2 linked regions of the Ovis aries genome follow. The protein of the gene in region 1 interacts with the protein of each later gene in a biochemical or structural test. Links are inferred from orthologs where the notes say so. Each region holds a gene or a part of one and is shown on either strand. Other genes may lie near its edges.

Region 1 (4,271 bases):
ATAATGTTAAATCTTACAGGGTGTGGTGAGGATTAAATGACTTAACAGGTGAGGAGAGTGCCTGGCACACAGTTGAGCAACAGGGGGAGGGACATAAGAAAACAAGACCTAACTACCCCTCCCTGCCTTCTCTCCTCACCCTCTGCACACAGGGCACCCTGCCCAAGGAGCGTAACACTGGCCACTGCTCATAGATGTTGGCCAAGTAGGAAGCTTAAGGCAAAAAGCTCTTTTTAAAAACAGGTCTTTTAAATCTGACATCCCAGTATGTGGAGTGTAAAATACTAGATTTATTTTTAACATCTCGAGTCAACTTCGGAAATCAGCAATGACAACACAGGGACCAATGGCTGGAAGAGGCGACCAGTACATGGGGCTCTGGGCACGGCACAATGGTGCTTGCAAAGCCTGCTCCTTCCTCTGACCACACTGTTTGCTCAGAAAGTTAATGGGGGCAATTTGACTATGCGAATGTCTTTCCCGGCCAGTCGTCAATAGCCATAAAGTAATAAGAATGATGGCAACGAGAGCAATAATACAGTTCCGCCTTGCACCTGTGTTTTCCACATGGCTGAGCCCAGAAAACCATTTTTCCTGTTTACTCCTGATGCTCTGAGCAGTTGCGTCTTCCTCCCTGACCTGATCTATCACTGTGGGCCAACCCTGTGTGAGCTTTCTGTCTCACTTCTCCACCAGGGAGCCGAGCCAAATGAGACACCCATGGGACTCACACAGAGACAAACACCCAGGGTGACAATTCCTTCTCCAGAAGGTTGGTCTTTTTTTGCAAGAACAGAGAGACAGTAACATTTGACTACTTTGGGGACTCCTGTTTAGGGCAGCTGGTTTAGGTGTAAAATGGCTCATTTATTTTCTTGCCCTACTGGGATCACGAGAAGCTTTAAAAAGTGCCTAGTGTAGACTAGGTACAATAAGACCAGTGACCACCAAGGCAACGCCAACTCTCTCTTTCTCCATCCCTTGCACCAGGCATGTTCACCCCCTTTCTTGCCTCCATCCTCGCCTTTTCTTTCTCAGAAGGCGCCAGAAACCCTCTAGGCATTCCAGGAGCCTGGTACTGAGGTCAGTAGTACCCTACAAGCCCAAGGTACCAATGAGCCTGCTTTCAACTCTAGAAACCCATTTTAGCCATGACACAGGAAAGGACTGACTCTCTAGTGACATTTGGGGTTAAGAAACCAACATCACCCTCGTTATGGCTGTGGGACCAGGCAGACCTGGGCTGGAGTGCTGGTTCTGCTGCTACTGCTAAGTCACTTCAGTCGTGTCCGACTCTGTGCGACCCCATAGACGGCAGCCTACCAGGCTCCCTCATCCCTGGGATTCTCCAGGCAAGAACACTGGAGTGGGTTGCCACTTCCTTCTCCAATGCATGAAAGTGAAAAGTGAAAGTGAAGTCGCTCAGTCGTGTCCGATTCGTTGCGACCCCATGGACTGCAACCTACCAGGCTCCTCTGCCCATGGGATTTTCCAGGCAAGAGTACTGGAGTGGGGTGCCATCGCCTTCTCCGGGAGTGCTGGTTCTAGCACTTCCTAATTCTGTGACCTTGGCCAAGTATTTGATGCTCCAGATCCACAGTTCGCTTACCCATAGAATGGCCTCGTGAAGCTGCGTGGGAATCAGTTGAGAGCTCCCCTGGGGAAGCTGTGGGTCTCTCTCAAACGTGCCCATGGAGTCTCGCCCCGGCCCCAGCCCCCAGGTGGGAGTGGAGACACTGACCTGGTCGTCGATCTTCCGCTGCAGCTGGACGATCTTGTTCTCCATGCCCACGTTGAGGCGTTTCAGGTGCTCCGCCGAGCGTGCTTCGATCCTGAGGGCCTTCAGCGCCTGCTTGGCCTTGAGCCTCCGGAAGCCACACTGGATGACAATGGCCGCGCCCCGCAGCCGCTGGAAGCGCCTGCGAGCCATCCAGCCCCGCACGTGCTTCTGGATGACGGTGGCCTTGTGCTCCCTGAGGACCTAGCGGGGGACAAGCACACACCTGGTGGGTCTGCGCTGCACAGTGAGAGCAAGGGGCTCGCGCACAGCTCCGGAGAGGCGAGAGCCAAGGTTGGTGAGCTACAGCTGCCCTATGACTTGAGGCTTTGGTGGCCATCTGTCTTATGAACAAATTGCAACTAAGTCTGGTGGCAGCTGTCAAACTCTCATTTCTTTTTTTTTTTAACTCACTAGGAAACCACAGTCTAAAAGACCCCTCAAAGTCAGAGGGGCTTAAAGATTATCCAGCTGATAGCCCCCCATTCAACAGATGTGGACCCTCTCCTGGTGACAGTAAGCTGGAGGCGAAGTGAGACGGTTGTGTGGGACTGTCGAGTGGGTTAATGGTTTACAGTTAACTTGGCTTGTAATTTGGTTTTTCTTTTTTCCTATACAGTTAAAAAACCACTCAGAAAATTAAAGCATCATCAATGTCCTCACTGTAATGCCCTACAAAATAAACGTTTGCGGAATGAACGAAAGTATTAGTTGCTCAGTTGTGCCTGACTCTTTGTGACCCCATGGACTGTAGCATGCCAGGCTCCTCTGTCCATGGGATTCTCTAGGCAACAATACTAGAGTGGGTTGCCATTCCCTTCTCCAGGGGATCTTCCTGAGTCAGGGATCGAACCCAGGTCTCCTGTATCGCAGGCAGACTCCTTACCATTTGAGCCATCTTGCCCTTGGACTGGGACTGTACCATGACTGCCTGGTCCTCAGGCCTGCAGACTTGGGCAGAGTCACTCCCCTGGGTTTCTCGAGTCTCCAGTGTGTACATGGTACACTGAGAACTGCTCAGCCATCATACCTACATGTGTCAGTTCGTCATAATAAACCTTATGCGCACAGACATACACATCTCCTATGCCTTCTGTCTCTCTGGTGAACCCTAAGTCACTGTGCCTCATGAGACTTTGGTCAGGATTCGGTGGGAGCAGAGTTGTGAAATTCCGTAGAAAAAAGTGAGACGTGCCCAACAAGTGCTGAGGTTGGTGCCAAGCCGTCTGCTGCTGCTCAGGGCCGAGTCTGCAGCCCGAGACCCTGGGGGCGGCTACGCACCTGGTGGTAGATTCTCCGTACAAACATGCCCCGAGCGAAGGCCTGGATGACAAGGGCGGCCCTGCGGACCCTCTGGTAGGCCCGGCGGGCCCTCTGCATGCGGTACTGCTTCTGGAGCACCACGGCCGCCCGGGTCCTCCGCAGATGCTTGGCCAGTCTGGGGAGGGAGAGAGAGGTGGGCCCTTCGTGAACACAAACCCCTTCCCCCTCGGCCCTGTGTGGTCACCTGCCGGCTAGGCCAATTTGTGTCACTGTTACCGACCGTAGCAAGGCCTTGAGACACAGCTCAGAACAGAACTGGCTTCCTCCACCTCGTCCAAAAACTCTTGCCACATATTTACAACTCAGTCTAAGTCTGATCAACTCTGATCCTCATCCGTCTACTCCCTGACCCACAAGCCTCTCCTATAACCTGGGCAGCCCTCAAGGACATCACATGCTCTCATGGGTCTGTCCCTGGACCTCACCAGGTTCGGAGGGGTCAGGGGCTGGGTATTAGCATCCTTGTACCTCTACACCTAGTATAGGGCCTGGCACAGCAGCACATGGGAAGAATCTGCTGAATGAACACCACCTTCTCAGGCCTGTGGCAATCCCTCTTTACTTTCTCACCTCCCAGCATTTCTGCCGGGGATGCACTGAACATGGGCATCTACTTTCCTCTGTTCCATTTCTACATTCCCCATCTCACCCCTCAAGGCAGACATAAAGTCAGTCCAACACTTTTTACCCCCTGCAAGGGCTCTGTTTGGTGTCAGACTCATAGCAAGTGCTCAACGAGACTAAGAATATTAAAAGCTAGAAAGGACCTTGGACATAATCTAGCGCAACTCTGGAGTGGGAAGTAACTCACTCAGCCCTGCTCTGCTTGCTTAAATGAGTCTGATTCCTAGTGCAGCTCTCCCTGAACACTCTCTCTAGAATACAAACTCCCTGCAGGGAGAACGTGGGCCATCCCCCTACCCAGGACAGAGTTCTGTACACCAGGGTGCTCAGCGATGCCCTAACTGTGGATGACAACTTAGTGTGGATACCACTGACAACTTTCTCATTTCTGTAGCTTTTGTTCTAGAGACCACCTCTCAGCTGTTCACAGGTAATTAATAGCATTCATCATCTCTGGTTCTGCTTGGATAAACAGCTTATAACAAGGACATGAGGGGGAGCCAGAGCAATCTTCTAACTTTACAGTACAGTGGGTGCCTGCTCTGGG
Region 2 (4,271 bases), on another chromosome or scaffold:
GTAGAAGCTGCAGGAAACACAGATTCGATCCCTGAGTGGGGAAGATCCTCTGGAGGAGGGCATGGCAAGCCACTCCAGTATTCTTGCCTGGAGAATTCCGTGGACAGAGGAGCCTGTCGGGCAACAGTCCATGGCGTGGCAGAGTCAGACACGACAGAAGTGACTTAGTGCACACGCACGCAATTTACATTGTAAGCAATTTTCATGATGAGCAAACTGTATGGAGTAGTCTCCCATGTTAACAAAATTCTTTTAATAGCTTTTACAGAACTATTTTGGCTCAGAGGCTGAATATTATTTTATTAAAATTTGATTGTTATTTATTATTTTATGGTGCTCAAAAATAGTATGTATTGATGAATTATTTCAGGGTCTCTACCTCAGTGTCTTAATGCTAAAAAATATTCTTCAGCCATGAGCCACATTTGGACTAGAAGGAAACATAATAGCTATTATTGGTAAGAAATTTTGATGTGTGATTTTCAAATCATGAAAGAAAAAGTTGTCTAAATAGCTTTGCAAAAAAGACTGGTTCCTTCTGCATGTGATACATGGCAGAGACCTCCCTGTTTTTTTAAATGAAGCCATGAATAAAACCAGAAACACTCTGGCGACAGTTTCTCCTTCAGTGCTTGGACTGCCTTGATGTAGAGTAACTTTACCTAAAAAGCAATTTGTGTACAACAGAGCTCGATAATCCTCTCTTCATTACATATTACAACCCAGTTTTTCCTTCTCTTTAAGGTGGTTTAGATTAGAATCCAAACAAGGAAAAAGAGCCAAAAACAGGGGTGAGATAAAGGTCAATATTCAATTTATGAGGAACAATATGACAGCAAGTATGTTTGACTTATCAATGAAGGACAAAACAAGATCTCCTTTTGCAAAATTAAAAGATAAGATGAAAGGTAGAAAAAATGATGGGACCTTTTCTGATACATCTTCTGCAATCATTCCAAGTTCTCACATGCCTGATGCCCATACTGAATTTTCAAGTAGTGAAATACAGATGAAATCTAAACCAAAAAAGCCTTTCCTTTTGGGTCCTCAGCGACTCTCTTCAGCACATTCAATGTCTGATTTAACTGGGGCCCACATATGCTCGGAGAAGCTGAAGTCTGGCACCGTTGCTCAAACGCATCTTCTTGGCCGCCAGATAGATTCCTTTGGAGCAGTTCCGGAAAGTGGTAAGTGATGTATGCGTTCTTTCTGGTTGATCCTGTGTGATCTGAACTACCTTCCTAATTTTTAAAGTTTGACTTCTAAAATTAGTAACAAATTGAGGTTTCTTGCTAGCATTTCCTAAATTAGTCATCAGATATTTATTGAGTACCTACTATACTGAAAATTGGTAAGTTTAAAGACAGAGCTGGTCTGAATTCAATACTGTATTTATAGAATTAGATGAGCCTTGGTCTCTTTTCATGGCCTGGTTTTTTTTTTTTTTTTTTTTTTTTAACTGTCATTTCTCCTGTCTCAGAAGCCTGAAACATAAATGAATATTCCATTTCATCAGAATTTTCCTAAAAAAGAATCTAATTGTTCAGAAGTAAGAAAGTAAACTTAATACTACTGATGAAAAAACAGTGAGAATTTCTATAGCACTATAATGCTGAGCAGAACCTTTAGTTTTGACATTATAATTTGTTTATGTGATTGTTTCATTCTGAGCTGAGTAAGTTACTAATAGTCCAGCAATATACTAATTGTTATTAGCCTACATACTGCTGTACCTTAGCATTTTAAGATTGTTTTCCTTGCTTATTTTAAAAGGTTAATATCTTTAAATAGCTAATTGCTCTCATTCTAAAACCAGTAGTATGCACACAGGATGTGTCAAATAGTGTGATATAATGTGTCACTGATTATGTACTAACTACAAAATTGTTTGCAGGAAGTCTCAAATCTCCACACAGAAGAACATTAAGCTTTGATACTTCTAAAATGAACCAGCCTGACAGCAGTGTGGATGAAGGTGAATCGTCTTTCGGAAGACAAAATGACCTATTTACAAATGTGACTGCTTCATTACCCCAAAAATTTGCAACACTGCCAAGGAAGAAAAATCCATTTGAAGAAAGCAGTGAATCATGGGACAGCAGCGTGAATTTATTTTCAAAATCAATTGAAGTAAGAAAAGAAAACAAGAGAGAAAAAAGGGAGAAAGTCAGCCTCTTTGAAAGAGTGACTGGAAAAAAAGACAGACGATCTGATAAACTTAACAACGGGGGAGCCGATAGCCCTTGTGACTTGAAATCACCTAATGCGTTTAGTGAACATCGGCAGGACTATTTTGATTATGAGTCAACTAATCCGTTTACAACAAAATTCAGGGCTTCAAATATTATGCCATCTTCAAGGTAAGCTTAAATGTGGGGAAGTTGTGCTATTCTGGAAAATATTCTACTTGAAAGTATCAAATACCCTTTTTAAATTCCTTTCACTTTATTTGAGAAAAATGCTAATCTTGTTTTCATAATTAATTTTGGAGCCAGGCGGTGTGTACATCTTTGGAACTGAACTTTTTATCTTAGAAGGATAAAAGATTCTTAATCCCCACCGCATTATATTTCTTTCTACTTAACGCTGGCCAGAAACTCTCAGAAACTTATGGAGAACACTACGTAGCTTTTGATGAGGTGTGGTGAGAGGGAATCACCAGTGGGTGCTAATTCAAGCCAGAAATCTTAAGTGATGAGTTGGGTTTCTAGATGTTATTTTTCATTGATTGGTTGTGAACCAGTAGCAGCCTATGGACTATTCTTTAAGAAATACTGGCTTAAGTTAAGTATTAATGGTTTTTGTGAAAACGTTAGTTGCTCAATCTTGTCTAACTGTTTGTGACCCCATGGACTTGAAGTCTGTTATGTTTCTGTATCCTTGGAAGCCCGTGGTTTCTTTGTAGGTGATGACTGTCCTTATTAAGGGCTTCCCAGGGGCAAGGGTGTGGTAAAGGATGCTCCTGCCAGTGCAGGAGACTGAAGAGATGTGGGTTCAGTCCCTGGGTCTGGAAGATACCCTGGAGGAGGGCGTGGCAGCCCACTCAGAGCTTTTTTGCCTGGAAAATTCTGTGAACAGCGGAGCCTGGCAGGCTACTGCCAGTAGGGTCATGAAGAGTTGAACATGACTGAAGCGACTTAGCATGCACATACATCCTTATTAAATGGCTATTTGGAGTAATGTTTATTGGAATCCAGTGAACCTTGGGGGTACTATAAATACATCACAGAGTATCTGTAATGATGACTTATAGAAATAATCTATCATGATAAGGTTTAGACTGTCAAAATCCTTGAGTTTTCAGTTATGTTAATAGTACTTTTCTAATTCCTTAGTACAGATTGGAACTGTATGGCCTAAGTAAGATGATGCATTTTGCAGAAGTGAATGGTGGAATAGCTGATTAAGGAAACCTCAAGCAAAAAATAAGGTGGATCTATTGGAATCTTGTGCAGCTATCATGGAGGAGCATGGTAGACTGTTTGCCGTAAACCATAGTCGTTCCTGAGGCAAGAACATGTGGTGGTCAGACTCCAGTGAGAAACCTCAGTGGCTCTGTGACCTCTCTCAACTTCCACATCTCTGTCTTTGAAATAAGGAAAATGAGACGTTCTCAGTAGGATTGGGGGACGATAAATGATAAAGTACGTGGCATAAAGCCGGGCCCCAAATAGGGAACCCATAAACAGTGGTTGCTGTTACGTTTTATATAGTGCCGTGTCATATTTTGTTCAAGAATGTTGCTTTGTTTTGTCCCACTATAAACAGAAAATAGTGCTAATAATCGCCCTTTTAGGCTTGTGATCTCCTGCCTGTCTTCTGATCTCTTAAAACATGCATTTAGAGTTTTCCAGGGAAAGTTAGTATTTCTTTCGTCTTCTTTTATCAAAATAAATGGGTATTCACTGTAGCTTTGGAAAGTATTGTTCAGTTTTCTTTATCGACTATACTTCAAAGAAATATGTTTTTATCATATGGTATTAATATTTTATTGAGAAGTCCGTGGTTTTGATACGCTGTTCTCAAACATTTCAGTTTTTTATTTTGCATGCTGTACTTCCCATATTGCGTTAGAAACTACAGAGGTAGATAGAAATGCAGTTGCTTTTTTCTCCCTCAGCTGAACTTTTTTTGGACAAAGTTATTGCCAAGAACTATCTGAGATAACTTAGAGACTGGGTAATTTACATAATTTTAGAGTCAAATAAAAGTGAAAACAATGGGACATGGTAGGAAAATGATTTTTAAATTATGGCAGAATGTGGAAAAAT

The links.
Region 2: the proteins of MYO5B (region 1) and RAB11FIP2 form a complex in vitro, tested with the Homo sapiens proteins (2 studies listed by BioGRID). The link is inferred for Ovis aries from reciprocal best matches to the Homo sapiens genes MYO5B and RAB11FIP2.

What each region holds. Positions count from the first base shown.
Region 1 is NC_056076.1:49,854,175-49,858,445, forward strand, and holds part of MYO5B (unconventional myosin-Vb), read right to left. Parts: intron 3,216-4,271; coding exon 3,059-3,215; intron 1,982-3,058; coding exon 1,742-1,981; intron 1-1,741. UniProt on the Homo sapiens protein: May be involved in vesicular trafficking via its association with the CART complex. The CART complex is necessary for efficient transferrin receptor recycling but not for EGFR degradation.
Region 2 is NC_056075.1:37,836,520-37,840,790, reverse strand, and holds part of RAB11FIP2 (rab11 family-interacting protein 2), read left to right. Parts: intron 1-744; coding exon 745-1,187; intron 1,188-1,894; coding exon 1,895-2,360; intron 2,361-3,335; coding exon of another isoform or gene 3,336-3,360; exon of another isoform or gene 3,361-4,271. UniProt on the Homo sapiens protein: A Rab11 effector binding preferentially phosphatidylinositol 3,4,5-trisphosphate (PtdInsP3) and phosphatidic acid (PA) and acting in the regulation of the transport of vesicles from the endosomal recycling compartment (ERC) to the plasma membrane.